Linked DNA regions of Stegostoma tigrinum. The protein of the gene in region 4 purifies or fractionates together with the protein of the main gene of each other region. This does not show direct contact. Links are inferred from orthologs where the notes say so. Each region holds a gene or a part of one and is shown on either strand. Other genes may lie near its edges.

The links.
Region 1: the proteins of crsp7 (region 4) and cdk8 purify together in Homo sapiens (affinity purification with mass spectrometry; 5 studies listed by BioGRID and IntAct, with this or other methods). This does not show direct contact. The link is inferred for Stegostoma tigrinum from reciprocal best matches to the Homo sapiens genes MED26 and CDK8.
Region 2: the proteins of crsp7 (region 4) and cdk19 purify together in Homo sapiens (affinity purification with mass spectrometry; 4 studies listed by BioGRID and IntAct, with this or other methods). This does not show direct contact. The link is inferred for Stegostoma tigrinum from reciprocal best matches to the Homo sapiens genes MED26 and CDK19.
Region 3: the proteins of crsp7 (region 4) and polr2c purify together in Homo sapiens (affinity purification with mass spectrometry; 3 studies listed by BioGRID and IntAct, with this or other methods). This does not show direct contact. The link is inferred for Stegostoma tigrinum from reciprocal best matches to the Homo sapiens genes MED26 and POLR2C.

What each region holds. Positions count from the first base shown.
Region 1 is NC_081359.1:77,361,830-77,369,054, reverse strand, and holds the start of cdk8 (cyclin-dependent kinase 8), read right to left. Parts: upstream 3,093-7,225; 5' UTR 2,873-3,092; coding exon 2,745-2,872; intron 1-2,744.
Region 2 is NC_081357.1:24,441,913-24,449,749, reverse strand, and holds the start of cdk19 (cyclin-dependent kinase 19), read right to left. Parts: upstream 3,231-7,837; 5' UTR 2,411-3,230; coding exon 2,283-2,410; intron 1-2,282. Other genes in the region: amd1 (S-adenosylmethionine decarboxylase proenzyme), read left to right, coding at 3,748-3,857.
Region 3 is NW_026728366.1:52,351-60,118, forward strand, and holds the start of polr2c (DNA-directed RNA polymerase II subunit RPB3), read right to left. Parts: upstream 3,194-7,768; 5' UTR 3,121-3,193; coding exon 3,035-3,120; exon of another isoform or gene 3,019-3,034; intron 1-3,018. UniProt on the Homo sapiens protein: Core component of RNA polymerase II (Pol II), a DNA-dependent RNA polymerase which synthesizes mRNA precursors and many functional non-coding RNAs using the four ribonucleoside triphosphates as substrates.
Region 4 is NC_081383.1:43,779,369-43,786,671, forward strand, and holds the start of crsp7 (mediator of RNA polymerase II transcription subunit 26), read right to left. Parts: upstream 3,293-7,303; 5' UTR 2,879-3,292; coding exon 2,816-2,878; intron 1-2,815. UniProt on the Homo sapiens protein: Component of the Mediator complex, a coactivator involved in the regulated transcription of nearly all RNA polymerase II-dependent genes.

The DNA.
Region 1 (7,225 bases), on a different chromosome or scaffold from region 4:
CAGGAACAAGGATCTTTGTTCACTCAGCAAAGGGTAAATAATGATACAGGTATATGGGTTCCAATGACTCATGGCACTATAATGACTGGGTACAAAATTAAGACACTTTAACAATTTCTTTTTCCAAAAACAAGGGTTATGAAATTTTTAAATGGCCACTTAAGCAGGCATTTGAGTATCAGTTTAATTCACCATTTGAAATTGCATCTTGAATAACTCCCTCAATCATGCACTGAGAGACAGTCTAGATTGCATACCCAAGTTCTGGAATGGTGCTTGAACCCACAACTGTCTGATCACGTGAAATTGTTTCACCAGAAACAAACGGGCTTTAAAGCAACAGTATGTAAATCTGTAAACATCTCACATAACAAACAATATATTCTTAACCTTATGACCTTATCCACAAGCAAGGACAACTGCAGACTGTGAAACATTTGGCGTTGGCTTGAAGATTAGGAAAAATTAAATGAGCTGTCTTTTCATAAACTATAAAAGATCAAAATGCTGAAAACTGACATTGCAGGATGGCACGAAATTGTTTTCAAATGTTTAGGAGGGTTTAGCAAATAGGATCATAAAGAAATTAGACGGATATACCAGAATTATTTGTTACCCAGCTACCGTTTGCCAAGATTAAATTATTTTAGATTACAAACAATGCTCTAACTTCAAAATATAGGTGCACAATCTTAAAGACATTCATGGTGTAAGAGTTAAAGCAGATCTTGTTGAATGCATCTTATTTTTCTTTCATTGCAGCTTATAACAGCAAAAGATACAGATGGAATAGACTAGAGCTTACCCGGCTATTCACAGCTAACCTGGGGTTTCAACTCCATTTTCCTGCTGACTAACTCCTATATCCCTCATTTCTGAGGCATACAGTCTGTCCATCTCAGCCATAAAACATATTCAACCTTGCAGGTTGCACATTTTGAGTGGAAAATTTTAAGAGTCACAAGAAACTTCTTCTCACCTCAGTTCTTAACAACAAGAGCTTTGTACATTTCAAAGCGATCATCTTTCATTTGCCTCAACTCCAAAGTATGTAGGTCCAATTTACTCAGCCTCACATCATAGGACAATCTCTCATTGTAGAGACCAATCTAATGAACCCTTACAATTCTGCCTCCAACACAATACAGACATCAATTCACTATGTTCTAGGTGTGGTTTCACCAAAACCACATACAAGTGGAATAAGACTTCCTCATTTTTATTCTCAAACTCCTTGCCATAAAGAACAACATGCCATCTGCCTTCCTAAACGTTTGCTGTTCCTGCAAGCTAAAATTCTGTATTCTTTGTACGAGTATACCCAGTACCTCTGAACATGTACACTTGTATGTTTCATGCTTTTTTAAAAAATTTTGCTTTTCTATTCTAAAAATGAATAATCCACAATGTTGATTCCCACTTACATTAAAGCAATGAGGAAAGAAGATAACTTATCAATTTGACTGATTTCAATTTTGTCACAATAATAGCTGTAATTACAGAAAAAAGTAGGGTTATTCCAGGTACAGTGAGAATTTATTTTAAATGTTTAAAAAAGATTCTGAAGCTCCCTCACTACGATAAGTGCATCTGTGGTGTATTTCTCAACTGGGGAGGTGAGAAGGTCTCAGGTCAACCCTCATTCTATGTTGAATTTGCATATCTTTACTGTACTACGAGGTGCAACAGTATACCAATATCCCAAATAGAAAGGCTAAAATCAGCTGAGTTTTTCTTCCTTAATGGTATGATAATGACTCCAACTATAAATCTATGTGAATGTCCAAATCTTGCCTTATTCTTCTCCACAACTGTAAGACAGTCATAACAAACCAGGAGGGTGCAATCGTTAGTGCTGACAAAGAAAATCATCCACAGGAGGAATGAAAACTAAAAGCAGCTACTGACCCTAACTAGTGTTTGTCAAACACAGCAACATCACCCCAAAAAAATTACAAAAATAAAACTCACATTTTGTGTAAAGTCAAATTCTACAACATGAATTCTATTCCCACTCTTATAAACAACAGCTCGTTTTAAAAAAAAAACCTCCAACAGGTAAATGCCAAGGTCAGAATTAATTTCAGAGTTAGCATTTGAAACCAATCTAAATGCCACTGGAAATCCTGCTGGGGGGGGGGGGGGGGGGAAGGGAAAGAGTGTGGCATTTACATGCATTACTTAAGATTTGGAAGAGCTTTTTAAAGTACTCGTCATTACATATCATTTGAATATCAATAAACTTATGAAATATATCACCATGTGTAACTTTGCCACGAATGTATTTTAAAGGTCGCAAACAATTCAATGAAGATGTCAATCCAACAATAATCAAGAAAACAATTTAAAGTAGGTCCATTAATATTTCCAGCTCTATCCAGACTCATTAGTTTAAAAGTTAATTGAAATGAGAAATAGTAATTATGAAGGATGCATACAAGTTCAAAGGTTTCACGACCAAATGGTTTACTTGACACCATCCCTAACAAAGGCAATAATCAAATATTACTCTATAAAAATACAGTAAAGTTGGTTTCACTCAAGTGCTTTTGCACGTATTTAACCGCAAAGACTCGAAAAGCTGCACCAGACAAGCAACATACTTTACTTCAAAAACAGGTTGCGCACGACAAAGTTATTGGCAGAAAGAACTCAGCTTCGCTCCTTCGCCAATTAAAATCCAAGCAAGAACCTGCATCAAGAATGACCAGCGTGGCCTACATGCTCTTGAAACCTTTACCTACCCGTCTTTCCGTTTGGCTTTGTATACATGACCATAAGTGCCTCTTCCAACTTTACAGCCTTCATATTCAAACAGGTCCTCCACTCGTTCCCTCTCTGTCGTCAGCTTCATCTTGAAATCATAGTCCATTTTCGAAGCTTTCCAATCTATTTTGTTTTAATAGTTGTATTGTCTAACTGAAGCCGACCGCCTCTCTTGCGGGTTCACGATATCGCTGGGTGACACTCGGAGGCACCATATAAGCCGCTGGTTGGCCTGTTGACGTGGGATGGTTGCACGAGCCGTCGCTGCGATCACCCCCTCACCGCTCGCTACCTCTACACAACGCCGGTATCACACATCAATCCCACCTACGGCATTGCCGTAAATTGTCGTGAAGAAAATGCACGCCGCCACTCATTGTATGCCGTTGCCTAGCATATCTCGTGCATGGGTGCTCGCACGCGTGAAGTGTGATGCAAGGTCCTGTGTACGAGCATGTTCGGAATGGATTGTCTAGCGTCCCCGGGATGTTAGGAACATGATAATATGCCGAAGTAATTCCAATAGGCATTTGGTTACTTCAGATTTCATGGCACATAAATAAATGCTGAGCCACATTCGCGTCGAATGAAACCAAAAATATGCCCGTGGGATCCACGTGAATGTGACAAATTAGATCCAAAATGAATTGGATCCGTTATGAGGAAGGTCACCAGACCCGAAACGTTAACTCCGTTTTTTCCTTCACACATGCTGCCAGACCTGCTGAGCCTCTCCAGCAATTTTGTTTTTGTTTTAGATTCAAAACGAACTTCGTGGCCAGCAGCGCTGTGAGGGGCGAAGTCTTTTGACTGGAAGCATGTGTCCATTAGGTGCTGGGTTCCTTGGCGTTGGTTGTGCACCATAATGATCTAGCCTTGAATGTACAGTAGAAGGTAGAATCAGTAAGTTTGCAGATGACCTGAAAATTGGTGGTGAAAATACTTGGAAGGAAAACCTTAGACTACAGGATAATATGGTTGGGCTGGTCACATCAGCTGAACAGTGGCAAAGGAATTTAATCTTAAAGAGTATGAAGTGTTGCATTTTGGGAAGACTAACAAGAGAAGGGAATACATATTCAATGGTAGATCCTAGCAAGTAGACAACCAGGAACTTTGGTATGCTTGTCCATATACCCTTGAAAGCAGCAGGACAGGTAAATAAAGGTGGTTAAGAATGTGTGTAGGTTACGTACCTTCATTGGTCAGGGTGTTGAATACAAGAGGAAGGAGATTGTGATGGAGCTGTACATTATGTTAGTTAGGCCACAGCTGGAGTACTGTGTGGAGTTCTGGTTGCAACACCATAGGAAAAGTGTGATTATTAGAGAAGATGTAGAGTAGATTCATCAGGATGTTTCTTGGCTGGAGTGATTCAACTGTGAAGAAAAACTAGACAGTCTGGAGTTGTTTTCCTTGGAACAAGGAAGGCTGAGAGCAGATATGTTTAAGATATACAAGATTCCAAGGGCAGAGATAGAGTAGATAGGGAGAAATAGTTCCCCTTAGTAGATGTGACGATAACCAAAGGGCAGAGATTTAAAGTTTGGAGCAAGAGCTTTTTAGGAGATTTGAAGAAAGCTTTTGTTTCATCCGTAGAGTGATGGATATCTGGGACATCCTGCCTGAAAGTGTGGAAAAGGAAGGAATTATCAAGTATTAAAGAACTATTTTAATGAGCACTTGAAATGCCATAGTATATGACTGTGGGCCAAGTGCTGGAAAATGGAATTACGGTAGATGGATATTTGATGACCAGGTGGACATGATAGGTCAAAGGGTCTCTTTCCTTGCTGTTAATACTCTGACTTTATTTTTAAAAAGTCAAAGGAAATTTAACTTAAATGACAAGATTTTGAGCTGTATCGCTCCTGTGGACCTGCACCCCCTAGATGCCCACTGGTCACACAACAGCTTGACCGCATGAGCAAAAGTCTTTCCCCAAGATAATCCACATGTGGAGAAAGCCACAGAGAGAGAGGGAGGTAGTATCCATTTGTTATGAGGGAAAATGTAATATGTTATTTGAGAACTTGGAGTCTGAAGTGAGGGGAAATGAACATTAGATATTAAATGAAAATCTGACTTGTGCAGTTCAAAACATTATTTACAAAAAGGCCATGCGATTTCAGCTAAATGACCAGAATTCTACAAAGTTGTTTTGAGTTTTATGGCCAACCGAGAAAGGAGCCATAAGTGTTTTTGTACAGGAGGAAAAGGCCTGTAATAGCATTGATGCTGTTGTTTACAGTTTCCCAGCAGTTGGGGTTGGGGAGAAGTCCTGAGGTACTTAGCTCCAGAGCATAAAGCTATGGAAGTGTCAGAGAAGAAAACATCCTAAAAGCCTATTTCAACACATGAGTTTAATCAACCCATGTTAAGTAACCGTGTGCTGAATTAGCAGACTTTTTTAAGGATCTCAGAAAAAACATTAATAGGAAAAAAAGGTGGAAACTAACAGAAACTGAAAAATTTCATGAATGTGCAGAAATTTACCAAAAAAAACGATTAGAACTTATGCCAACTGAGCAAGAAGCTTTAATGTGGAGATTGGAGTGATTCTTCACTGAGATTTAAGTGCCTGTAAGAGTACTGGCAGGATAAAAAGGATGAATCTTTCTTTCTGATGTCTGTAATTACAACATTCTAATAGTTCCTATTTATTTTTATTCTGTGCAGTAAATGTTGTTTGAAGTCCATTGGGCGGACCCTCATAAATAAATTCATGTGACTGACCGCCATGTGAAACAAAAAGAAAATAGTAAATATAAGGTTTTTCAAGCCAGGCTTCACTCTGGGAACTGATTTCTCTAGCATTATTGTAAGCTGGAATCATAACACTGGATCATCGCATTGGCCACACACAGGAGCAGACTAGTTGTTGTATACACTCTTGTGAGTGAACATGAACAGGCTTTATTAAGTGTAACAATTTACAAGAATTGGGGCCATCTGGAATCCTATGGACCCAGGCTCCTGTTCCATGTGATCAGGCATCATTATGGTTTTGCGCTTTCAATTCTGCTAAGTAGCTATTCTTCAGCCAGTGTGTAATTAACTCTTTATTCCACATCCATGAGAAGGATCTCTGATTTGCCCATCTTCCACCCTAGCCAGACCAAAGGTGCTTAAGTTTTATTTTCATGACAGACAAGATGGCAGTTCTATAGAACAAGAAATTCAGTCTACCAAAATAATATACAAAGTGTGGATTCTTCTTTTTCATGGTGATGGGGAGAAGCAAATTTAAATAATCGCATTTTTGGGTTCCTATCAAACCTTCAACAATAGCAATTGACATAAAATTAAGCGATCAAAAGCAACTGATTGGCTAACAGACAGTCCCACCATCTCTATTATTCGTGAATCTGGAATTAAGAACTGAATGATGACCACGAATCCATTCTTGATTGTTGAAAAACCCATCTGGTTCACTCATGTCCTTTAGGGAAAGAAACTGCCATCCTCACCTGGTCTGGCCTACATGTGACTCCAGACCCACAGCAATGTGGTTGACTCGTAAATGCCTTCTGGGCAATTAGGGCTGGGTAATAAATGCTGCCTAGACAGCGATGCCCTCATCCCGTGAATGAATAAAGAAAATAGAATACTTTAGCCTGGCCACCAATATATGAGTATAATTTGATCAATGAACAATAGATGTCGCAGTATAATAGACTGTTCTGCTACATGTTTTGCAATATTTATTCTGAGACCTTGGCTAACATTAATATAGTGAAAGTATGCTCTGTTCTTGTCGTTCAGCCCTAAAAAGTCTCAAAAGCATCTGCTAACTTTATTGCTGCAATTTGATGCCCAAATTGAATAATATTTATTTTTATTCCTTCACTGGATCTACCCATCATTCACTTGGCCAGCATTTATTGTCCATTCCAAATTGCTCACTCTTAATTGACCAAGACTGCACAGAGACTAAATGTCTATATAAAAGAGAAATCATAACTAAGAGAAGTAAGGATACAAATCTATTTGACAATTAAATATATGACAAGAACGAGGAACCATGACATAAGAATGAACACCAGGAATACCTGGGAATGATCTACAGTGTTGAAATGTGATTTTCAAATGCCATTCTGCAATGAATTATCATAAATGGATTTTTTTTTAAACCACAGATAACACGAAACATTTGGAAGGAGAAGGTGGTAATGTTGACCAGGCAGAAGAAATTGTATGAGTCACAATGAACTTCAGCCCAGTAATGATTCTTTGTTCAAGAACTCATTAAACTGGACAGCTTTGGATGCTGGATGCTAGCCACAAGTAGAACGGTTAAAATGTTGCCTAATTATTTTAAATAATAAGGACTGTAATTTGAGGTTCCATGTTTGGGATGACAATGTTTTGAAGTCATTGAGTGATTCCTAGTAAAACAGCTGAGGTAAACCTCTTTATCAGCATGGTACAGTGTGAAGTGAAATAAGCGGCTTGGTCT
Region 2 (7,837 bases), on a different chromosome or scaffold from region 4:
CTTTTCAAAGAACAGCAGCAAATTCTCAGTGTCCTGTTCCACCCACCAAAATCACAATAAACAATTTGTCTCGTCACAGTTTCATTTGCCTTTTGTCTTCACTGTACTCAGTGTTCCTGAATTCAACAGCTATGTTCACTATAAAGTATTTTTCTGAGAATGTACCAAAATATTATTTACAAAAGCAAAAGCAAAACACCACAGATGCTGGAAATTTGAAACAAAAAGAAAAACTGGATACACAGCATCGGTGGAGCAAAACAGGCTCTAATTTTTCAATAATTCATGCTGACAATAGGGAGGGGTGTTGGGTGGGGTCGTAGAATTGCTACACAGCGTGGGGCCCACAAATTCCACAGCTGGCTTCACGCCACTTCCCCTGTCCTGTACACAACTACATAGGTGTCAGCCCTAGCCTGGGGCAGTTCCCCCACCATCAACTCATTGCAGGCCTTCAATGACTAATTATTGGTCACTCAGGGCCTGTACCCACTCAACAGCAATTTTTTGGCTAATAAGAAGAGTTCAGGGACTAATGGCAAGTTGGGGACCCACAGCTTACCCTAATCAGGACTTTGGAGGGGCTGACATATCACTGACACCCTCTCCAAAATGAACACCCACAGCCTCAGCTCCCACTAACCTAGCTATCATGAATCCCACTCTCACCTCTTCCCTTTGTCTAATCTTCCTGGATCCCTAGTGCTTACAGTCACCAACAATTGAATTGCTCTGGGTAGTGCTGCTGCAGTGAAGACATGTGAATCAGTACTTTAGATGATCACAGGTTTATCTCATTGCCTGTCATTTGTCAGTTAGCACAGTGAAACAAGAGCTTGTCTTTTAGTGTGGAGACGCTGTTGTGTTGCAGATATCACACAATTCTGGCTGATCAGGAATCTTTTTTACACTTTTTGCCTGCTAAAGGCGTCAGAAGGATTTACAGGTTGATAGTCAACCATTTTGCCATGTTATGAACCCATCTTTCAAATCCATCAAGTCCTACCATCTGACTTGAACACAAAGCCTGCGAATTACAGGCAAGAAGGCTAACAATTGCACCACAAAATCTCCCTGAGCACAAGTTTATGAAGAGCAAAGTGTGGGATATTAGGAGTGCATCGGAATCATCAAGTCTATAGGTAATGAAAGCATAGAAGAGGATTACAGCTGAGAAGGGGGTTAAGTCAAAAGATATTAGAAATGGATCAAGCTGTCTTTGAGGTGGCACAAATATGATATCAGCTCACTACTGGATCTGACATAACACTAGAATTGCAAAGAGATTGATTTAATATCAAACTGTTGCCATGGAGAGGGATGCAGTTCATAACAAAGGATTTATACTCTTTCTCTAAAAGGATCTAACGGCAGATTATTTGAGGAACCCCAGATTTCGAACAATACTCTAAGTCAACTCAAAAACAAAGTTGCTGGAAAAAGCTCAGCAGGTCTGGCAGCAACTGTGAAGGGAAAAACAGAGTTAACGTTTCGGGACAACAAAGTGCAGAGCTGGATGAACACAGCAGGTCAAGCAGCACCCTTAAACGTTTCGGGTCCGGTGACCCTTCCTCAGAATTCAGATGTCAACTCATCTAACTTCCTCACGAATGGTCAGCCCCATTTCTACTTTCACTCTGCCTTGGAACCCAAGTCGACATTAACTGACACATCAATGCAAATTGCTGTTATCATATCTAATTTTATGCACGGAAGTAAACCGCACAGTTCGGTCAAAGAATAAAAGTAAATACGTTGTTCATTACTTACTTATGACTACAGTTACAAAATACAGTACCTAATATTCAAAAACACGGTCAAGATTTAGGACTTCTAAGTATCTGAGTGTTGTGAAACATGGAAGACAAGCTACATTTTAATTTGACAGTTCCGAAATGTGATTTAGTCTTATATTATGGGCAGCACTGCTTTAACAGCTGGCGTTCAGCCGAGAAAAAATTACTATACAAAGTCTAGAATAAAAGAAAACCGAAGAAGTAGTCTGTTTTATATCATACCAATAAACCTATCAATAAATACATAGTTTCCAAAACAATGGTTATGAGGGCTGGAGGCCTCGGCTTGATTAAACGGGTTACAATAAGGAGTTGTAAACACAAGGTGTGAGGATATATTTACAAACCAGAAACATCAACATTGGTCTTGCAGCACGTGAACTGAGTAACCCAGAAATAAACTTTTAAAAAGGCATACTCTGATAAGTCTTACTGGGCGCCTGCAGCAACACCTCACAAAATCGCCTGAAGGTACTGATTTCTTACCCATCTTTTCTTTTTGCTTTGTAAACATGACCGTAGGTACCACGACCCACTTTGCAACCTTCATATTCAAACAGATCTTCTACTTTCTCTCGCTCTGCTGCTAGTTTCGTCTTAAAATCGTAATCCATGACTGTCACTCCATAAATGCATAAATACTTTCAATGTCTGTTGGAAGGGGGAGGAAGGGAAACGGGCTGGATTATTTAAACTGAGCACCGATCATTTCCTTATTTCGTGTGTATTTTTTTTGTCTCTTCCAACAAGTTCGCCCGGCGACATTTAACCATGGGTTTGTTATGTTGACGTTAGCGGCAGACAATGGCGGACCGCGAGGCATGCCGGCATTTGTAGTCCTTAGAGCTTCGGCAGGGCCTTGACTAGCGCGGCTGCATCCCGGGGTCAAAGACTACAACTCCCGTCGCTCATTGCTGCGGACGGTTTTAACCGTTTTCGGATCCAAAAGTAAAAACAGTTAGTCCGAGCAGAGCAGCAGACGGGTGTGGGGGTGGGAAAGGGTGAAGAAGCACCGGGACACTGAAATCAATAAACAGCGATAAGATATTCAAATACACATCGGAATAAACCTTCAACATCCCTTTTTGTTCGGAAAAACTAAAATGTATCTGTTACATTCCCGCCTTCTTGCGATACGGCACTGCGATAAACGTGACTGACTGCGAAACGAACCAATCGCGTTAGGAATCGGCCCGAAAAAACGAGGGTGAGATGAAATCGTGCGATGGCTTTTATCGAGCGTTAAAGAGGTTTGGGGCAATTTATTTGCAATGTCTTCTCGTTTCCTTCCCCCCGCCCCTTCCAAACGTGCAACTTTTATAGTTGAATTGGAACGTCGATCTGCGCGCGGCTCCACTAACGGTTTTGCCCGGGCGCAAGGTCTCGCGCCGAACGTTCGACTGGTGATGGTGACGGTAGTGGAGGGAACGGGCAGGGGCAGCTCCAGCCAGGCCGTTGACGTCACAGCAGTTCTATTGTGCCGTCGGTAGAGAGGGCGGTGCAGCAGACAGTTTGGAGAAGTCAAGTGATTGGGTTGGAGCGGATGGGGGTGGTGAGCAAAGGAGGGAGGCGGAGGTTATAAAAGCCGGCGCCGGCGGACGTCTCGCTGCTAGTCACAGTATGGCCGGCGACATTAGCTAGCGCTCGCTGGATGCAATTCTCTGTGTAGAGGGATCGCATTGGGGGCAACTACGAAACATTATATATATATATGTATAAAAAAAACAAACAAAAAAATCTTTTTCTTGAAAAAATAGGGAAGCAAAGCAGAAACCGGACCGCTCAAGAACCCACTAAAACAGAGCAATTGACACTAACTTATTAAGCTTTTTACCAGAGAGAGGGGGAAAAAGGGGGGGGAGGTTTTTTAAAAGAGAAAATAGAATTTGTAGAAGGGAAAAGAGGGAGGAGGAGGGGGCGAATTTTTCTTTCCCCTCTCGTTTGTTTCACGATGGAAAACGGTGCACACTTTTTCGAAGGGACCGAGAAGCTGTTGGAGGTGTGGTTCTCTCGGCAGCAGGATCTGTGCACGGGATCGGGAGACCTCCGGACCATTCCAAGGTAAAATACATATATCATTAAAACAATAATATCAGCTAACAGCAAAATGGTGGGGGGAGAAACGCACCAACTCAGACCGGGGACACTTAAACGCGCTCTCTATGTTCTATGTTCTCTCTGGCCTTGGGTTGTGTGGGTGTGTTGGCGGCCAGGGGGGGTTGGGGAAGCACCGTGTTTAAGGAGATACGCCACAAATCTCAATCAATCTCTCTCTCTCTCTCTCTCTCCACCCCCCCCCCCCCCCAAAAAAAACCAGGGAAAGGAATCAGTGTTAAGGCAGGGAATCCTGGATTGTTCCCTCCTTCAAAATTAAACGATTATTTTATCAATTCCTTATTCAAAAGCCTGTATTGGAGTGGGGGCAGGATTTAAGAGGCCAGGTTAATGTGTGTATATGGGGTGGGTCTGTTGGGGATGTATGAGGGGCTGGGGTGTGTGAAGGTGTGGAGAGTGGTGAGGGTGTTGCAATATCTGTATTTATTGACTGGTTGTGGGGTGTAGGTGTGTTGGTGAGTAGGTGGATGTGTGTGTGGGAACCCTTAGGTTGAACGGGATGCGGGATCTCTCCCCGCCCCCCGATTCCTGCCTGATTTATTTCGAACGGCGGGCGCTGGGCGTGGCCCCATCTCACTCTTCGCCCTCTTTGCTGCCCCGCTGCTGCCATTTTCTGCCAAGCTGCACTTTGTGTGTGTATGTGTTGGGGGATGGTTTGAGTGCGTGTGTTTTCAGTTAGAAGTCTGGCCAACCTAGTAACAGGTGGCCAGCCGCAGTTTCTGACGGAATTTGGGGGTGCTGGATTGGCTGCTCTCACGCTTGTTCCTGAATTTGAGTCGTGGTCTCATTTGTTCAGGGCCGTACCTTCTCTCTCTCTCTAACTCTCCCCCCTCTGGCGGTCAGGGAAAACGTGCCCATTCCTTTCAAAGGGGTCTGTCCTTTTTAAATGTGCACCGTGATTTCCGGGGAGGGGGGTACAGTCAGGCTGAATGCACTCCACGTGTACTCAATAAATTACTTAATTCACAAATGATTTAATAAATAAATTATTCATAAATTATTTAATAAATCCTCTGGTGAGAGGAACATGGGCAAGTCGGTGAATTTGTTCCTCCATGTTTTGTGTTGGATGAAAGGAGGTTTTCTTGGATCATTTTTCTTGGTGGGCATGGGGTCGAAATCTGTCAACACGCTCTCCAAAATGATTGAAGACTTTTTTGTATATCTTGCACTGAGCGGAGTTGTCCGTCCTTCTCGCTTTCTAAAAAAAACTAGGTGGAAGTTAGGTGTGACTGAGTTTGAGGAAACGCTACCTTTATATGAGCAGCATTCCAAACTGGGAACGTTGGTGACCAAGGTATTAAACATTACTGCTCAACAACTTCATCTCTCAAACCTTGCTCGGTGAATGTATGGGGAAAGGGGTCTGTATTTTTTGGCGGGCACATCACGTGTTTGGGTTATCTAACACACAGCCTTTCCCCATCCCCCTGTTGCAGAAACTACATGTTTGCGCCTTTTCCAGTCGGTGGGTAGCAACCGACCCTCCCAGAGTTAAATATGCTGCTGATCGCAAGGACAGCAGGAGGAGCGAAATTACAGACGCCTAGTTTTTTCCCCCCCCATGCGGCGCCTGTTGTGGTTGCCTCATAGTTCAGCATGACTAGTGTAAATTCAAACTGGATTCTCTACACTGAACAGGAATTGTCCGATCGACGTCCGCGAGTTGGCCACTTTTAAAATACTTAATTCAGTTTTCTCCCAGTACTTTGGCAAGTTCTTTCCCCAGGTTGGGGAATACCTGCCCCCTTGTACTCGCCTTTTTTTAAATTTATGTACAATACATGGGTGCCATTGTACAAAGGCCGGTCGCCTACTCCCATCAATCGATACCGCAGTGCTGAGCTCTTGCTGTCTCATTTTACAGCCACAAATAGCGCCCTCTCTGAGCACCGGGAAAAGTCTCCTTTTCTTTGAGATTCCCTCCCTCTAATGTGTTGTCACCAGTTCTGCGTTTCCTGCTATTTTCGTATCGTCAGCAGATAGGATTGATGGCGGGTCTAGATGAATGCCTGAAGTCGAATTACTGGTAGATATTAAAACGTACGCAGTGTTAATGACAAATCTCCGTTCTCAACAAATGTGTGAAGACGTGGATCAGCCAAACGTCGTTTGATTTCAAGTGTAAGTTGGACTTTTGAGAAGTTTACCTTCATGGCTTACTGAAAGCCTGTTTATATTAAATCATACTTACTGCGTTCACGCTGCATATGGGAGGTGTTAACAGGCCGTGGTTGAAAGAAAGAACTCGTCATTTAAGACTTTCCACAACCTCAACTTTATTTCATAACCTCTAGACTAGAGACTTGAAATAGAGAAGCAATACAAGGCTCTGCAAACAATAAAATGTTTCTGTAATGTAGTTTGAGGGAAGGTTGTTGAAAAACCTGTATTTAAATTCACCCAACACTTCCCCAAAGCAGGGGACGGAGATGTACACTGACAACTCCAGTCTTGATTTCATTGATGCTAATCTGACATCCAATATTGAATTAGCAGAAATGTTAAATATTGAAAAGACCAAAGGCATTACTTTCAGAGATAACAAGGTGTAGAGCTGGATAAACACAGGCGAAGCAGCAATTTAGGAGCAGGAAAGCTGACATTTTGTGTCTAGACCCTTCATCAGAAATGGAGGAGGGTTCTGAAATAAATAGGGAGGGAGGGGGAGGCGGATTGAAGATGGAGAGGAGACAGACAAGTTAAACAGGCAGGGATGGAGCCAGTAAAGCTGAGTGTAGGTGAGGAGATAGGTCAGTCCAGGGAGGACGGATAGGTCAAGGGGGCAGGATGAGGTTAGTAAGTAGGAAAGGGGGGTGTGGCTTGAGGTGGGAGGAGGGAATAGGTGAGAGGAAGAACAGGTTAGGGAGGCGGGGATGCAATGAGCTGGAAATCCTGCAATTCATCCCTCACACCCCGTCCGCGCAATAACAACCAAAAAAGAATCCCCCCTCATCCTCACGTACCATCCCACCAACCTCTGGATCCAACGCGTCATCCTCCAACACTTACGCCATCTGCAATCCAACCGCACCACCAAAGACATTTTCCCCTCCCCACCCTTGTCTGCTTTCCGGAGGGACCATTGCCTCCGTGACTCCCTTGTCTGCTCCACACTCCCCTCCAGCCCCACCACACCTGGCACTTTTCCCTGCAACAGCAGGAAGTGCTACTCTTGCCTCCACACCACCTCCCTCACCCCCATCAGAGGCCCCAAGAAGATTTTCCACATCAAGCAGATGTTCACCTGCACATCTGCCAATGTAGTATACATCTTACTCTTCCTCTTCCTGGCAGCAGTTTGAGACTCTGCACCTGCTGTACCTGTTGTGGCCTCCTGTATATCGGGGGAAACCAAGCAGAGGCTTGAGGACTGCTTTGCAGCACACCTACGTTTGATTCGCGTTAAACAACTGCACCTCCCAGTTGCGAACCATTTCATCTCCCCCTCCCATTCCTCAGATGACATGTCCATCCTGAGCCTCCTGCAGTGCCACAACGATGCCACCCGAAGGTTGCAGGAACAGCAACTCATATTCCACTTGGGCACCCTGCAGCCCAATGGTATCAATGTGGATTTCGCCAGCTTCAAAATCTCTCTCTTTCCCCCCCCCCCCCCCCCCCCTGCATCCCCCCCTCCCTAATCTGTTGCCTCTCACCTATCCCCCCTCCTAGCTCAAGCCGCACCCCCATTTCCTGCCCACTTGACCAGTCAGTACTCCCTAGACTGACCTGTCTCCTCCCTTCCTCTCCACCTACGCTCAGCTTTACTGGCTCCATCCCTGCCTCTTTAACTTGTCTGTCTCCTCTCCATCTATCTTTTCCTCTATCCATCTTCGATCCGCCTTCCCCTCTCTCCCTATTTATTTCAGAACCCTCTCCCCTTCCCCCATTTCTGATGAAGGGTCTAGACACAAAATGTCAGC
Region 3 (7,768 bases), on a different chromosome or scaffold from region 4:
AGGACACTCGATTCAAAACGTTAACTCTGATTTCTCTCTAAAGATGTTGCTACACCTACTGAGCTTCTCCAACAATTTTTGTTTTTGTTTCTGATTTACAGCATCCACAGTTCTTTCGGTTTTTACTTGACAGGATTCATTACTGCCTGCCAGGGTAGTAGAGGCAGAAACCATAATAACATTTCAGAAGTTTTTAGTTGTGCGCTTGTAATGCTGAGGCATGCAAGGTTATGGGCAAAATGCTGGAAAATGGGAATAGAATAGTTAGGTTACAAGGTGTAGAGCTGGATGAACAAAGCAGGCCAAGCAGCATCAGAGGAGCAGGAAAGTTGATGTTTCAGGTCGAGACCCTTCTAGGTAGATCCAGCTCTATACCTTGTTATCTCAGATTCTCCAGCACAGACAGTTCCTACTACCTCTGTAAGAATAGTTGGGTATTTGTGTTTGACCAGCGCAGACTCAATGGGCCAATGGGTATTTTTCTTTGATGTAGACCTCTATGACTACATAATCTTATGAGAAAGAAGACTGTAGGTAATAAGCAGTCATAGAATTACATATTCAATGTGAAGCTATCAGGGCTCGGGTGTCTCAAACTAGGATTTTAAAGTAAATAAAGGGATTCATTTGACTGAGAAAGCAGAGCTGGCTAAACTGAGACTAGTTTATGAGGTAGGACAATAGAAACTCAGTGGCAGACTGTTAAAGGCACATTTAATGACTCTCAGCAAAAATTTATTCCGGTGAGATCCAAAGACTCCTCGAGAAGGATGAATCAACTGATGGTGAATAGGTAAACTAAGGTCAGTGTTCGACTGAAAGAAGCACTGTATAATTTTCTCAGAGATAGATAGAACTTCAGTTGCTGGAGTTAGAGATGACGCAGTGTGGAACTGGAGGAACATAGCAGGTCAGGCAGCATCAGAGGAGCAGGAAAGTCGACATTTTGGATTGGAACCCGAAACGTTAACTTTCCTGCTTCTCTGATGCTGCCTGACCTGTTGTGTTCCTCCAGCTCCGCACTGTGCTGTCACTGTACAATTCTCTAATGAGTAGTGATAAGTCAGAGGTGTCGACAGATATTTAAGAGCCAGCAGTGAATTTAAAAAATTACATAAATATTAAGTGGAGTGGCAGAAAGCAGACTATGAGTGATATCTAGCTAGATGGGAACAAAAACAGAGAATAAAAGTTATAGTATTAGTCCTCTTGTGACAGTGAATCTGGAGGATTGAAAATGGAAATTAAAGAAATCACTGAGATTTTTACCAACTATTTTATGTTGGGTTCCGTGTAGATACTGAAAATCAAGAGGTGATACAGAGAGACGAATTTCAAGTAATCACCATCACCAGGGAAAAGCTGCTGGGAAAACTATTTGACCTAAAGTTTGAAGGTCCCCAGGATCTAACATAGAACAATACTGCGTAGAACAGGCCCTTCGGCCCTCGATGTTGCGCTGTCTTAAAAGAAATTACAAAGATAGTGGGGGATTCATTATAATTTTAGAAAATTCCCTGGATTTTGGAAAAGATCACAGCAGTTTTGAAAATAGCAAATCTTTATTCAATTAAAGTCACCATCGTCTTACTCGACGATAGGACTACTGTTTCATTAGAGAGAGACAACTGCTGGTGGTTTAAACTGAGGGTCACCATAGCTCAGGCAAGAAGACAGGATGAGAAGGGGAGTCCTTCATGGCAACCTCAGCTGGTGCAGGAATTGAACCCATGCTGTTGGCCACACTCTGCAATTCAATCCAACCATCCAGCCAAATGAACTAACCGACCCCTCTACCTTTAAGAACACAGGGGAACAGAAAGCAGGAAACTACAAGCTGCTCAGTGTCACATCCGCCACAGGGAAGATGCTTCAATCAACTCGTAAGGAGGCTATAGCAAAATACTTCAAAAAACGAGTGATCAGAGTCAAAGATAACAAAGCGTGGAGCTGGATTAACACAGCCGGCCAAGCAGCATCTTAGGAGCACAAAAGCTGACATTTTTGGCCTAGACCCTTCATCAGAAAAGGGGGATGGGGAGAGAATTCTGAAATAAATAGGGAGAGAGGAGGAGGCAGACATAAGATGGATAGAGGAGAAGATAGATGGAGAGGGCAGTATAGGTGGGGAGGTAGCAAAAGATCGGAGTCAACATTGTTTTGTAAAAAAGAAATTGTATTTAACTGGTCTTTTAGAGCTATTTGATGAAATAACATCCTAATGAATAGAGAACAACTAATAATATAATAAATTTGTATTTCCAAAAGGTACCAGCTTAGTAGACAGGGAGACATTCTATCAGCATTGATACAATTGGTTAAATAATAGACAGCAGAGATAAATGGTGCATTTTCAGCTTAGCAAGCTGAACAACTGGAGTGCCACAGGGATCAGTTCTGGGCACTGAACTACTCACAACTTAAATCAAGAGGTTGGATGAGATAGTCAAATATACAGCTGCTAAATTTGTCAATGACGGCCCGGAAAATAAAGTGTCAAGAAGTGGAGAGTTTACAATGGGATGCAGATATGTTAAGTGAATGGGCAGATTTAGGAGTCAAGTGCATGAAAAGTGTAACTTTCTCCCCTTTGACGGGAAGAATAGAAAAGCAGCATTTTACTTTTAAAGGTCGAGGGAGAGATCGGAGAACTGAGGTACATAGCGCCATCTAGTTTCCAGGTTGTGAATCCCACAATGGGTTAGCACGCACAAATACAGCAAGTACGAGGAAACTCGATTGAATGGTGGCATTTGTTACAAGGGGTTTGAATATAAAAGTGGGAATGTGCTGTGGGGCCTCGGTGAGAGCACAGCTGGAGGGAGTGGTTTCGTTTTTAAAAGAAATGATGACCCCCAGAAAGTAGTGCAGATCCGAGTTAGCCAGATCCTTCACTGCTCGTACGGTGGGGTTGGGCCATCAGCACCCGGCCCCCAGCACGGGATAGAAGGGCTGAAGGGTCACCTTCCGCACCACCTCAAAGCCCCTTCTCTCTTCCCCCGCCCCCCACCCACCCACCCCAAAAAGCACTGACGAGAGCTCGGTGTTCTCCACGACGAATTTCACATTTTCGTCAGACAGCTCCGTGATCCGCACCGTCGGCTGGTTCGCATACGGCATTGCGCTGCTAACGGCACTCCCCCGGAGGATTACTCCACTTTCCCGACAAGCTCCCTGGCTACCACTCCTCCACTATCCCAGCAAGCCCCGCGGAGCCGCTCCACCCACCGTCCCGGCAGGCTGTAGTGGAGTGGTAATCCGAGATAACAAAGTGTGGGGCTGGATGAACACAGCAGGATCTCAGGAACCCAAAAAGCTGACGTTTCGGGCCTAGACTGAGGAATGGGAGGGAGAATTAAAATGGTTAGCGACTGGGAGGTGCAGTTCTTTTTTTTATTGCGAAACGAGCGGAGGTGTTCTGCAAAGCGGTCCCCAAGCCTCCGCTTGGTTTCCCCAATGTAGAGGGAGCCGCACCGGGTACAGTGGATACGGTATACCACATTGGCAGATGAACATCTGCTTAATATGGAAAGACATCTTGGGGCCTGGGGTAGGGGTGAGGGAGGAGATGTGGGAGCAAGTGTAGCATTTCCTGCGGTTGCAGGGGAGTGTGGAGTGGACAAGGGAGTCACGGAGAGAGTGGTCTCTCCGGAAAGCAGACAGGGGTGGGGATGGAAAAATGTCTTGGATGGTGGGGTCGGATTGTAGATGGCGGAAGTGTCGGAGGATGATGCGTTCTATCTGGAGGTTGGTGGGGTGGTGTGTGAGAATGAGGGGGATCGTCGGTTACGTGGAACAGTCCCTCTTCCGCACCTACACAGGCCCCAAACCCCACCTTTTCCTCCGTTACATTGATGACTGTATCGGCGCCGCCTCTTGCTCCCCAGGGGAGCTTGAACAGTTCATCCACTTCACCAACACCTTCCACCCCAACCTTCAGTTCACCTGGGCCATCTCCAGCACATCCCTCACCTTCCTGGACCTCTGTCTCCATCTCAGGCAACCAGCTTGTAACTGATGTCCATTTCAAGCCCACCGACTCCCACAGCTACCTAGAATACACCTCCTCCTACCCACCCTCCTGCAAAAATTCCATCCCTCCAATTCCTCCACCTCAGCCGCATCTGCTCCTAGGATGAGGCATTCCACTCCTTGGTGAGACCATACCAGATTTGTGTCCAGTTTGGTCTGTTACCTAAGGATATGCTTGCTGTTGAGGGACTACAGCAGAGGATCCCCAGGATGGTGACATGAACCTATAAGGAGTTATGGAGGACTTGGGCTGATGTTTTCTAGAGTTTTGAAGGTTAAGAGATAACCTCACTAGTGCAAACTAAATTTTTACAAAACTCAGTGGAGTAGCTGCAGGAAGCATATTTTCCCAGGCTTCGGTGGGTGGGAACACAGGGAGAAACTGTCTCAGAATAAGGGGCTGAATATTTAGGGCTCAGGAGATTTGTCATACAGAGAAATCTTTGAATGTCCCTTCCACTAAGGGCTGTGGCTCAGTCGTTAATACTGCAGCCACTCAGTGCCAGGGTCCCAGGACTGATTCCAGCCTCAGGCGACTGTCTGTGTCTGCGTGGGTTTCCTCCCACAGTCCAAAGATGTGTCAGGTGCATTGACCGTGCTAAATTGTTAATAGTGTCCAAGGATGTTTAGGTTAGGTGGGTTAGGCATGGGAAATGCAGGAGTAGGGGAATGGGTCTGAGTGGGATACCCTTTGGAAGGACTTGTTGGGCTGAATAGCCTGTTTCCACATTGTAGGGATTCTATGATACATGCATCCTTGCAATGGGGAGTCCGGAAGCAAATTACACGCTGCAGGATTTTTAGATTATGACTTGCTCTTGTAGCCACTATGTTTGTGTAGTACATCAGTCTAGCACAGCACAGGAACAGGCCTCTTGGCCCACCATGTCTTTCTCAACCATGATGTCGTTCTGAACTAATCTCATGTCTCTAAATGCCTCTTTAAAATTATCTTATCCATTTTTACCTGTCATCCAGGTACCTACCACCCTCTTGCGCCCCACCCCCGGCACCTTAAACTTATGCTCCCTTGTATCTGACATTTCCTTGTGGAAAAGCTCTGGCGAACCACCCTTATCATTGCCTCTCATTTTTATGTACTTCTATCAAGTCACCTCTCAGTCTCTGGATGCTCTCGTGAAATCAGTCCAAATCTCTCCTTATAGCTAATACACTCCAATCCAGGCAACATCCCAGTAAACCTCTTTATACACCCTCTTCAAAGCCTCCACATCCTTCCTATAGTGCAGCAACCAGAACAGCGCACACTACTCTAAATTTGACCTCACTGAAGTTTTGTACGACTGAACGACTTGCCAATTCTTATACTCAATACCCCAATGAATGAAGGCAAGCATGCCATATGCCTTATTTATCACCTCATTCACTCTTGTTGCCACTTTCAGGGACTGTGAACTCAGATCCCAAGACCCTCTCTATATCAATGCTCCTAAGGGTCTGGCCATTTACTGCGCACTCTCATCTTGCATTTGATATCACAAAACGCATCACCTCACACTGAAGAAGGGTCCTGATCCAAAAAGTCAGCTTTCCTGCTCCTCTGATGCTGCCTGACCTGCTGTGTTCCTCCAGATCCACACTTTTATTACCTCACACTTGTCTAGGTTAAACTCCAACTGCCATTTTTGAACTCAAATATTAAATAATTGATATCCTGCTTGGACAACCTTATCATCATCCGAAACTCTACAAATACATCCTTCATTATATTCATAAGCACACTCCCTCTGTATCCATATGCACCTCTCCCCCGTGTCGACGTACACCCCTCCCCCTGTATCCCAGACACCACCATCACCGTCCCTGGATATGTCCTGTCTCATCAGCAGGACAAACCCAGGACAGGTGTTGGCACAGTGATATACAGTCAGGAGGGAGTTGCTCTGGGAGTTCTCAACATTGACTCTGGACTCCATGATATCTCATAGCTTTAGGTTAAACATGGGCAAGGAAACCTCCTGCTGATTACCACATACAGTCCTCTCAGCTGATGAATTGGGACTCCTTCATTTGACAACACTAGGGAGAAGCACTGAGGATGGCAAGGGCACAAAATGTACTCTGGATGGATGATTTCAATGTCCACCACCAACAGTAGTTTCGATTAGATTCCCTACAGTGTGGAAACAGGTCCTTTGGCCCAACAAGTCCACACTCCCCCTTCGAGCATCCCACACAGATCCATCCACCTATAACCCACACACCCCTGTACAGTAGGAGCAATTTAGCATAGCCAATCCACCTAGCCTGCACATCTTTGGACTGTGGGAGGAAACTGAAGCACCCGGAGGAAACCCACGCAGACATGGGGAGAACATGCAAACCCCGCACAGTTACCTGAGGCTGGAATCGAACCCGGGTCCCTGGTGCTGTGAGGCTGCAGTGCCAACCACTGAGCCACCGTGCCGCAGCAGTACTACCGATTGAGCTGGTTGGGCCTTAGAAGGACATAGCTGTGAGACTGGAGGAACACAGCAGGCCAGGCAGCATCAGAGCAGCAGGAAAGTCAATGTTGTGATCAGAGATAATGGGAACTGCAGATGCTGGAAAATCCGAGATAACAAAGTGTGGAGCTGAATGAACCCAGCAAGCCAAGCAGCATCTTAGGAGCACAAAAGCTGACATTTCGGGCCGAGACCCTTCATCAGCAATGGGGGAGGGGGAGAGGGTTCTGAAATAAATAGGGAGAGACGGGGAGGCGGACTGAAGATGGATAGAGGAGAAGGTGGACTGCAGCAGTTCGAGAAGGCAGCTCACACCACCTTCTCAAGGGCAATTAGCGACAGGCAATAAATGCTGACCCAGCCAGCAATGCACACTTCCCACAAATGAATGAAAGAAAATATATACACTTCCTCCCTATCCACATGCATCCATCATGGTATCTGACAGCAGGCTACACAGAACTCTACAGGACCATTTGTTTTCTCATTGATTGCTCTTTATTTGAACACACACTCATTACACACCCACACACTCACTCATGTATACATGGTGTACACACCCACACAGACATGTACACAGTCTGCAGCCTTGCCTCAGACAAGATCTCTATGGTGCCAGGTCCACACATTGTTGGTCATGATGGCCAGCACGCTGCTCATTGGTGCTGCCCAATGCCACTCAGGTTCTTCAACTGCAAAGAGAAAAAGGAGCCATCGTCAGCAGCAGCAAGGTGTGGGCCTGAAGGTAAGGAGTAGGGAGAAGAACTTGGCCCAAAGGGAAGGCGCAACCTGAGGGCAGGGAGGAGCCTGGGCCAGTACCCCAGGGGAGGGGCTGGAGCCCGCAGGGTTGAGGAGAAGTTACAGCATGGGATACAGAGCATGGGATTGGCTGTCCTGCCCTCTCCCATAGACTATGGCTATCTCAGGGTAAGTGGCACAGAGTGGCATGAAAGTGGCGATGCTTCAGGCACAGCTACAGACAACACATGGTAAAAGTGGCTTTCAATTGCACCAGTATAATCAATGCTACCCTTTTCCAACACTGGAGGATGGAATCACCCAGATTAGGAGCACCCACCCTGGCCCAGGACCACCTTGCTGGGGGCCAGTAACCTCAGCGTGGCTGAGGCCTAAGGTCCTCAGTCTCTCCACAACTGAGATTCAGGGCGGCTTCCTGCCTGCCTCCTGCAAGTACCTTTGGTGGTAAATCCCCAAAAGCTGACACTTACCGTCACTGCAGCTCCCCTCAGCCCAAGGAAAAGAGCTCTGCT
Region 4 (7,303 bases):
CAATCTTCACTAGATTGAAGATCAGTGCCAGAGGACTGCAAAACTGCTGATATTATACTAATACTGAAAAATCAGGGAGGATAAACCAATAAACTACATAGTCCACAGAATCAGCATTGGGAAAGACACTGGAATCTAGGGGACTAAAACTTTATTTGTAGAAATTTGAGTTAATCTCAAACAGCCAGAATAGACTGATAAAGGCAAATTACGTCTGACCAAGTTAGTTGAATTCTTTGATAAGATTGAAGAATGTTGATCAAAGTAATGAAGCAGCCACTGCAAACATGGACGTTTGGGACAAAAAGTGCCTTATTCAGAAGCTGGAACTCCATAAAAATAAAGGGAGAATGTTGGCATGGATACAAAAATAAGCTCAATGAAAGAAAACAATAGGTGGTGGCAGCAAAAACATTTTTCACACTTGGAGGGCATTTAGAGTGGTTTGCAAAAACAATCAATTACTCATGAACCATGCTTCACAATTTTTATAAATGATAGATTTTTAAAGCTTATAGATAATATGAAAGCCAAGGTAAAGTAGTCAATGATAAACACAGTTTTATAGCCTTCAGGTTGGTACAGAATGGTGAAATGGGTTGGAGCACAACAGATCAAACTCAACTGAAGTGAAGATTGTGGGCAACTAACAAATCAAGCACACAACGGCACAATTTTAGAAAAGTGTACAAGAGTAAAGATACCCTGATGTTCATCTTAAAGACGGCATAGCAAATTAATCATGTAGTTAAAGCACATGGATTATTTGAGTTTATAAACAAAGGAACCAAATAGAAAAGCAAAGAGATTATGGCAGAACATTATAAATCAAAGGTTAAGGCCTCATTGCAGTCAATTCTGGGCATCACATTTCAGCAAAGATACAAAGACACGAGAAAGGGCACAGAGGAAATTTACCAGGGTGTTACCACGGATGAGATCCTTCTCTCTCCTTTGAACAGAGATTTCAATGTTTCCTAATAGATACATGGCAGGTTACGTGAAAGGGGAAAACATTTGCTCTAGTGAGTCAATATCTAGACTTGACATATTCAAAATTGTTGGAGAAAAGCTGAGTGTATCAAAATCTGGATCATTTACTCAAGATGATGGAAATTGATTTTATTAATAGCTTTGAAAGGGAGGTGAACAGGTACTGACATCAAGGAACTCAGTGGCACAGTCAAAAAGCAAAGGAGAAGGAATCTCAGAGAACAAAGCATGGAGCTGGATGAACACAGCAGGCCAAGCAGCATCTTAGGAGCACAAAAGCTGACGTTTCAGGCCTAGACCCTTCATCAGAAAAAGGAATCTCAACTGCTTTTTCAGAGTATGAATGCAGGCATGGACATATTGCAAGTTTCTAAGATTGTAAAATTTTCCTCAACATTCTCTGGAATCAAATAAACTATGCATAGCTGTAAACTATACTTAGATGCAAAACTGCAGAACTGGACCAACACTAATTAGCAGATCCAATTCACCATATGAAAGAAATCTTCCTCAGCAAATCTGAGTCTCAGAGATAAACTGCAAATTTTACCGCTTCATAAAGAGATGCACAAGTTTCACTTTATTCTATATCATGAGCAGCAAGAAATTTGATTTTGGAACTGAACACTATAACAACACTTTGCAAATGTTCCGAAATTCAGATTGTCTCATAAGAGCTTAGTGACACAAACACATGCGTTGAACCAGTTTTCTGGTTTAAACCTATTATTCAGTTATCACAAGTCTGCACAGATTATCAACGAGTAGAGTATAACCTTCATTTGCACTAACAACTTTGGAAATAGTGAAACAATCACATTTGTCAAATATACAGCAGCAGAATTCCTCTACTATTTAGTTGTAACTTCACCACACAAAATAAATCTTGATTTGTGGAAGCTCAGAAGATTCATGTGAAAAATTCCAGCAAATTTTTACAAGTTAAATTAGAATTATCCTAAAATTCAGTACATTCCCATTACATTTACTCTGTGCTAATGTTAGTCGGGAGCTCCAAGTTACCCATCATTCCAGTAGCCACTTCCTGTTTGCCTATTTTATCTGCTCTCCCGTATGTACTTCCCTGACACTGAAGCAACCACTTCAACGTGAAAATACTGAATTCAATGCCCTCCCGCTGAAACATTAGCCACAGTATGACTTCATTCCAACTCCCAGCTTTCTTTGTTTTAGGGTAGGGGTAAGAGTTGCAGAAGCAAAAGTTTAATTTTATATCTCCAATTTAATCAAATGATTTATTGATTAATAAATAGATATATACCAAATAAACTTCCCATTTCAGGCAATGTGTACAATGTCATCTCATAAGGACTATGTACAGTTAACTTTAAAAAAGGCAGTAAAGAGTACAACAGTTGGTCACCATTTTAAATAGGAGTAACTTCCCAACAATTTGGATGACCACAAGCATTAGCAGATGCTTAAACGCTTTATACATGCTGGGACGAATCATTGAGTGTAACTGTGATATGCTAGATGCACCCAGAGTGTGTTGTAAAACCCCGTGGAAGCTGGGAGTTGAAACGGTTTAGAGGAATCCTGCTGCTGCTCCACGCTGGGAGGTTAATTCCCCCAAGCCTTGAACAAGCCGTAATACAGCCCAGGCTCTCTACCCATTACCCACAACCACTTCACTCCAATCCTCTCCTCACTCACTCATCGCGGGCCTGGGTTCGAAGCCTGTCCCGTTAGGCCGCGTTCACTCTCTTCTATGCACACACGCTTTCTCACACAGACCAACCCCAGGCCGTCACAGGCCCGAACCAGGGGCTTGCGTGCAGGCATTCGGCCTGGTTCTTACATTGGCATCCTTGTCTATGGCCTGGAGCAGCTGGTCCTTGATCTGCTGCGGGGTGGGTGTCATTTGGCGGCAGTGTGGCGGCGGCGGCGCAGCAGTGGAGGGGACGAGGTGGGGGTTTGGAGGGGAGAAGGAAGGGGGCAAGAGGAGATGGGGAGGGAAGAGGGAGAGAGGGACGGGGATGGAAGCCCCGCTAACAAGAAGCGCAGAGTCTGAGGAAGTGGCTGCGAAGAGCGGCGGCGGCGGCTGCAGCAGGGCCGCTCGGAACCGTCATATTCCGCCGCAGCGCTCTCGGGTGGCTCCGTGCGTCCAGTGTGCGCCTCACTTTCTCCCGGCTGTCCGTCAGCTGCCTGAAGGGAACCGGCACTAACACCGCCGCAGCAGCAGCCGCCACCGAACAGAGAACAGCTCAGAGCGAAACGAAGCTAACACTCACTCTCCACCGAGTCTAACTGAGAGGCCGCGCGCTGCACCACGGGAAGCCTGCGCTCCGGTTGCGCGCACACGCGCGTGCGTCACAAACCGCGCGCGAGTACATCATCCGCCATATGCGTGCGCCGGAGACAGAATAACGGCGCGCTAGGGCGCGTCCCCGTACTTTCGCTCCAGTTCCATTACCCCGTCCCTTTCGCACGTCCTGCGCCGTACCGTCACGTCGCAATCCTGACGTCATTCATACCCCCTCGGAGTGCGCAGGCGCAGATTTGTTGGGGTCGCCAACCATTCTGGGGGTGATGAGCACGTGGCCGGTCTGTTAGCGGGCGGTTGTTGCCATGGTGACGAACCACTCGGAAAGCGTCTCCAGGAGAACTCATGAGACGAGACTGTAAGTGGGAAGAGATTCTCCAGAAGTTTATGAGGTGATCTTTTCTTCATAACAGACTTGTCAGGGTAAAGCCAGTATAACAAAGTGTAGAGCTGGATGAACACAGCAGGCCAAGCAGCATCTTCGGAGCAGAAAAGCTGACGTTTCGGCAAAGTCAGTGTCCAGACTGGAAGCACATGTCCTTTGGGTGCCATGACCGAGTGCGAGATTGTGGAGACGGTGACAGAGTGAGCCCAAGGATACCATGAGTACAGATAAAATACTGTGTACGCTGGAAATCTGAAACAGACACGTGGAAAGAAACTCAGCAGATCTGGCACTATCTGTAGCAGAGAAACAGAGTTAATGTTTCCAGTCTGATATTGTTCCTTCAAAACATATTGAATATAATTCAGTCTCAGTTTAAGCAATTATATTCTCTTTCTATGGAATATGGTGATTAATTACAAAAAGAAAGACTTGGATTTTCAGCACTTTTCATATACACAGGATTTTTTTTGCTGATGAAATGAGGATATTGCTGGAAAATCTCAGGTGGTCATTAAGTATCTGTAGACAGAAAGAGTGATAACATTTCAAGTCAATGACTCTCCATTAGGTAAAAGTTTTGAAGTGAAAAACCTGAAATATTGACACTGTTTCTCTCTCCATAGATGTTGCCTGACTTGCTGAATGTTTCCAGTCTTTTCTATTTTTAATCTCAGATTTCTAGCATCCACAGTATTGTGCTTTTGTTCAGTTCCAAAGAAGAGTTATAAGACTCAAAATATTAATTCTTTGTTTCTTTCTCCACAGGTATCTGATTTGAAGAATTAATGTGTAAACTATTTTCTAAATGGGGAAAGGCTTTGGACATCTTAAGTACAAGGGGACTTCGTCCTAGTTCAGATGTCTCTTGAAGTTACTTTGCATATTTGGTTGGCAGTTAAGAAGGCTATGCAATGTTAGCTTTAATTTCAAGAGGGCTCAAATACAAGAACAGAGCGTATTGCTGAGGTTGTGAAAGGCTGTGGTCAAATTGTATTTGGAATATTGTGAGCAGCCTTGACCCCCATATGGAAGGATGTGCTTGCATTGGAGGAGATCCAGAGGGGGTTTGCAGGAATAATCCGGGGATAAGGGCATATCCTATGAGGATGGTTGGGGACTCTGGGTCTGTACTAGAAGGAGTGTAGAAGATGATCGCACTGAAATTTACTGTGTCTGAGAGGCCTGGATAGAGTGAACATGGAGAAGCTGTTTCCATTAGTAGGAGAGAATAGGACCTGGGGGGCAAAGCCTCAGAATGTCGAGGAGGAATTTCTTCTGCCAGAGTGGTTAGTCCTTGGAACTCATTGCTACAGAAGGTTGTGGAGGCCAAGCCATTGAGTGTATTTGAGACAGAAGTAGATAGGTTCTTGACTAATTAGGGGAGCAAGGGGTACAGGAAGAAGAAAGGAGAATGGGGTTGAGAAATTTAGAATTAGCTTTATTGTCACATACTCACATGAGTACAGTGAAGAGTTTACAACTCACCAATTACAGCACCAACTTAGGTACCTAGGTACAGATTCTCAAGTACAAATTCCTTAGGGAAAAAAATTCTGAAAAACAAAGAAATTAAAAGTCCAACAATTAACCAGAAAAACAGGGAAACAAGAGTTCAGAACAACAGGTCTTCCAACTCAGATCACACCGGGCTTCACCTCAAAGCTAGGAGTTCAATCCCACACTGAGGCCAGGACTTCATGTCCACCCTGGGGCCAGAGTCGATGCCACCATAGGACTGAGAGTTTACACTGGCTTTCGCCCTGGACGCTGCCAATGCTGCCCGAGGACAGGAGGCCAGAAAGAAAAAAACAGGGAGAGGAAAAAAGAAAAGAAACGGATAGAGCAGATGAGCTTGGCTGAGGAATCCTACTCTGTTGCATATCAGCCATGATCAAATGGCAGAGTAGACTCAGTTAACTGAATGGCCTAATTCTGCTCCTATGTCTTATGGTCTCATGTTCGGCTGAGTTCCTCTGATGCTTTTCGTTTTCATTTTGCTTTTGTTCTTTGGGGACTAGGACTGCTTAGAAGCAAATGTGTGATGCAGGCTGTGGCCACTGAATTTGTGGTGGAATTGCAGTAATGAATTGAAATGACAACATGTGATAATGTTGCGAGAAAAGTAATCCAGAGGTCAGATGAATACTCTGGTGACATAATTTGAAATTATATCACAAAGGAACTTAAATTTATTTAATAAGTCGACAATAAAATGCTTGTCTGAGTCATGATGATCATGAAGATACTGGATTGTCATACAAACAAACTCACTTGATTCACTAGTATCTTTCAGGGAAGAAATATGCTGACTGTCTGCTCTGGTAGGTATCACTCCACATCTCAGCGATGTGGTTAACTCTTAACTGACATTTCAAATGGCTTAGTAAGCAAACCATACCCAGTTGAAAAGTTGAATAAGAATATAAACAAATGGACCACCTGACATTAATCAATACATTACAAACAGCACAAGCATATCCTGGCTAGACAGCCATGCAGAGACCTTCATACTAAAGTCAAGAATGGTATGTCCATCCTTGACATCAGGTAGCAAGTGTGGCATTAGATTGACCACAAAATTGAACTCAGGGGAAATGTGTTGAGGAGAGATTGAACTCCTTGGATTTTAAAAGTATAAGAGGCAACCTAATTGAAACATGCAAGTCACTTAGGGGACCTGGAGGATAGTTATGGAAAAGTTGTTTCTCTTGAGGGAGAGTCTAGGATCAGAGAGTATATAATCTCAGACTAAGTGGTTACCCATTTAAGACACATGAGGAGTTTCTTCTCAGAGGATAGTGAATTTGGAATTCTTTCCTGCAAAGGGCTGTAAAGGCTGGATCAACAAGGCTGAGATAGGCAGATTTTTAATCAGTAAAGGAATTGAGGATAATGGAAAAAAGGCAGTAAAGCATGATTGAGTATTATCAGATCAGTCGTGATCTCAAAATGGCAGAGCAAACTAATGGACTGAATGGCCTATTTATGCTCCTAAAATCTAATAACAAACATCTCCCCCCTTTACATTAAATGGCATTATTGTTGCTAAACTGTCACTTTCCAGATTCAAGGCATTACCATTCACTATAAAATTAGCTGGATCAAGAGTAGATGAGACAGCTGGGAGCAAGTAACTCACACCTTGATTCCTTAAACCTGCCCACCGTCTACAAATAATGTGTGCTGTGGAATTCCAAGTAAGGCTTCAACAAAATCAAGAAACTCAGCAAAATCCAGGATGAAGGAACCCACTTGTTTGACATCCATCTACCACCTTAAACTTTTGTTTCCTATCCACAAGATGGACTACAACAACTCACTAAGATTCCTTGAACAGCATTTTCCAAACCTGTGACCTCTACCATCTAAGCATACAAAACCAGCAGATGTAATAGAGATAATAGGAACTGCAGATGCTGGAGAATCCGAGATTACCAGGTGTGGAGCTGGATGAACACAGCAGGCCAAACAGCATCTTAGGAGCAGGAATGCTGACGTTTCGGGCCTAGACCGTTCTTCAGAAATGGGGGAGGGGAAGAGGGTTCTGAAATAAATAGGGAGAGGGGGGGAGGCGGATCCCAATGGATAGAGGAGAAGATAGGTGGAGAGGAGATAGACAAGTTAAAGAGGCGGGG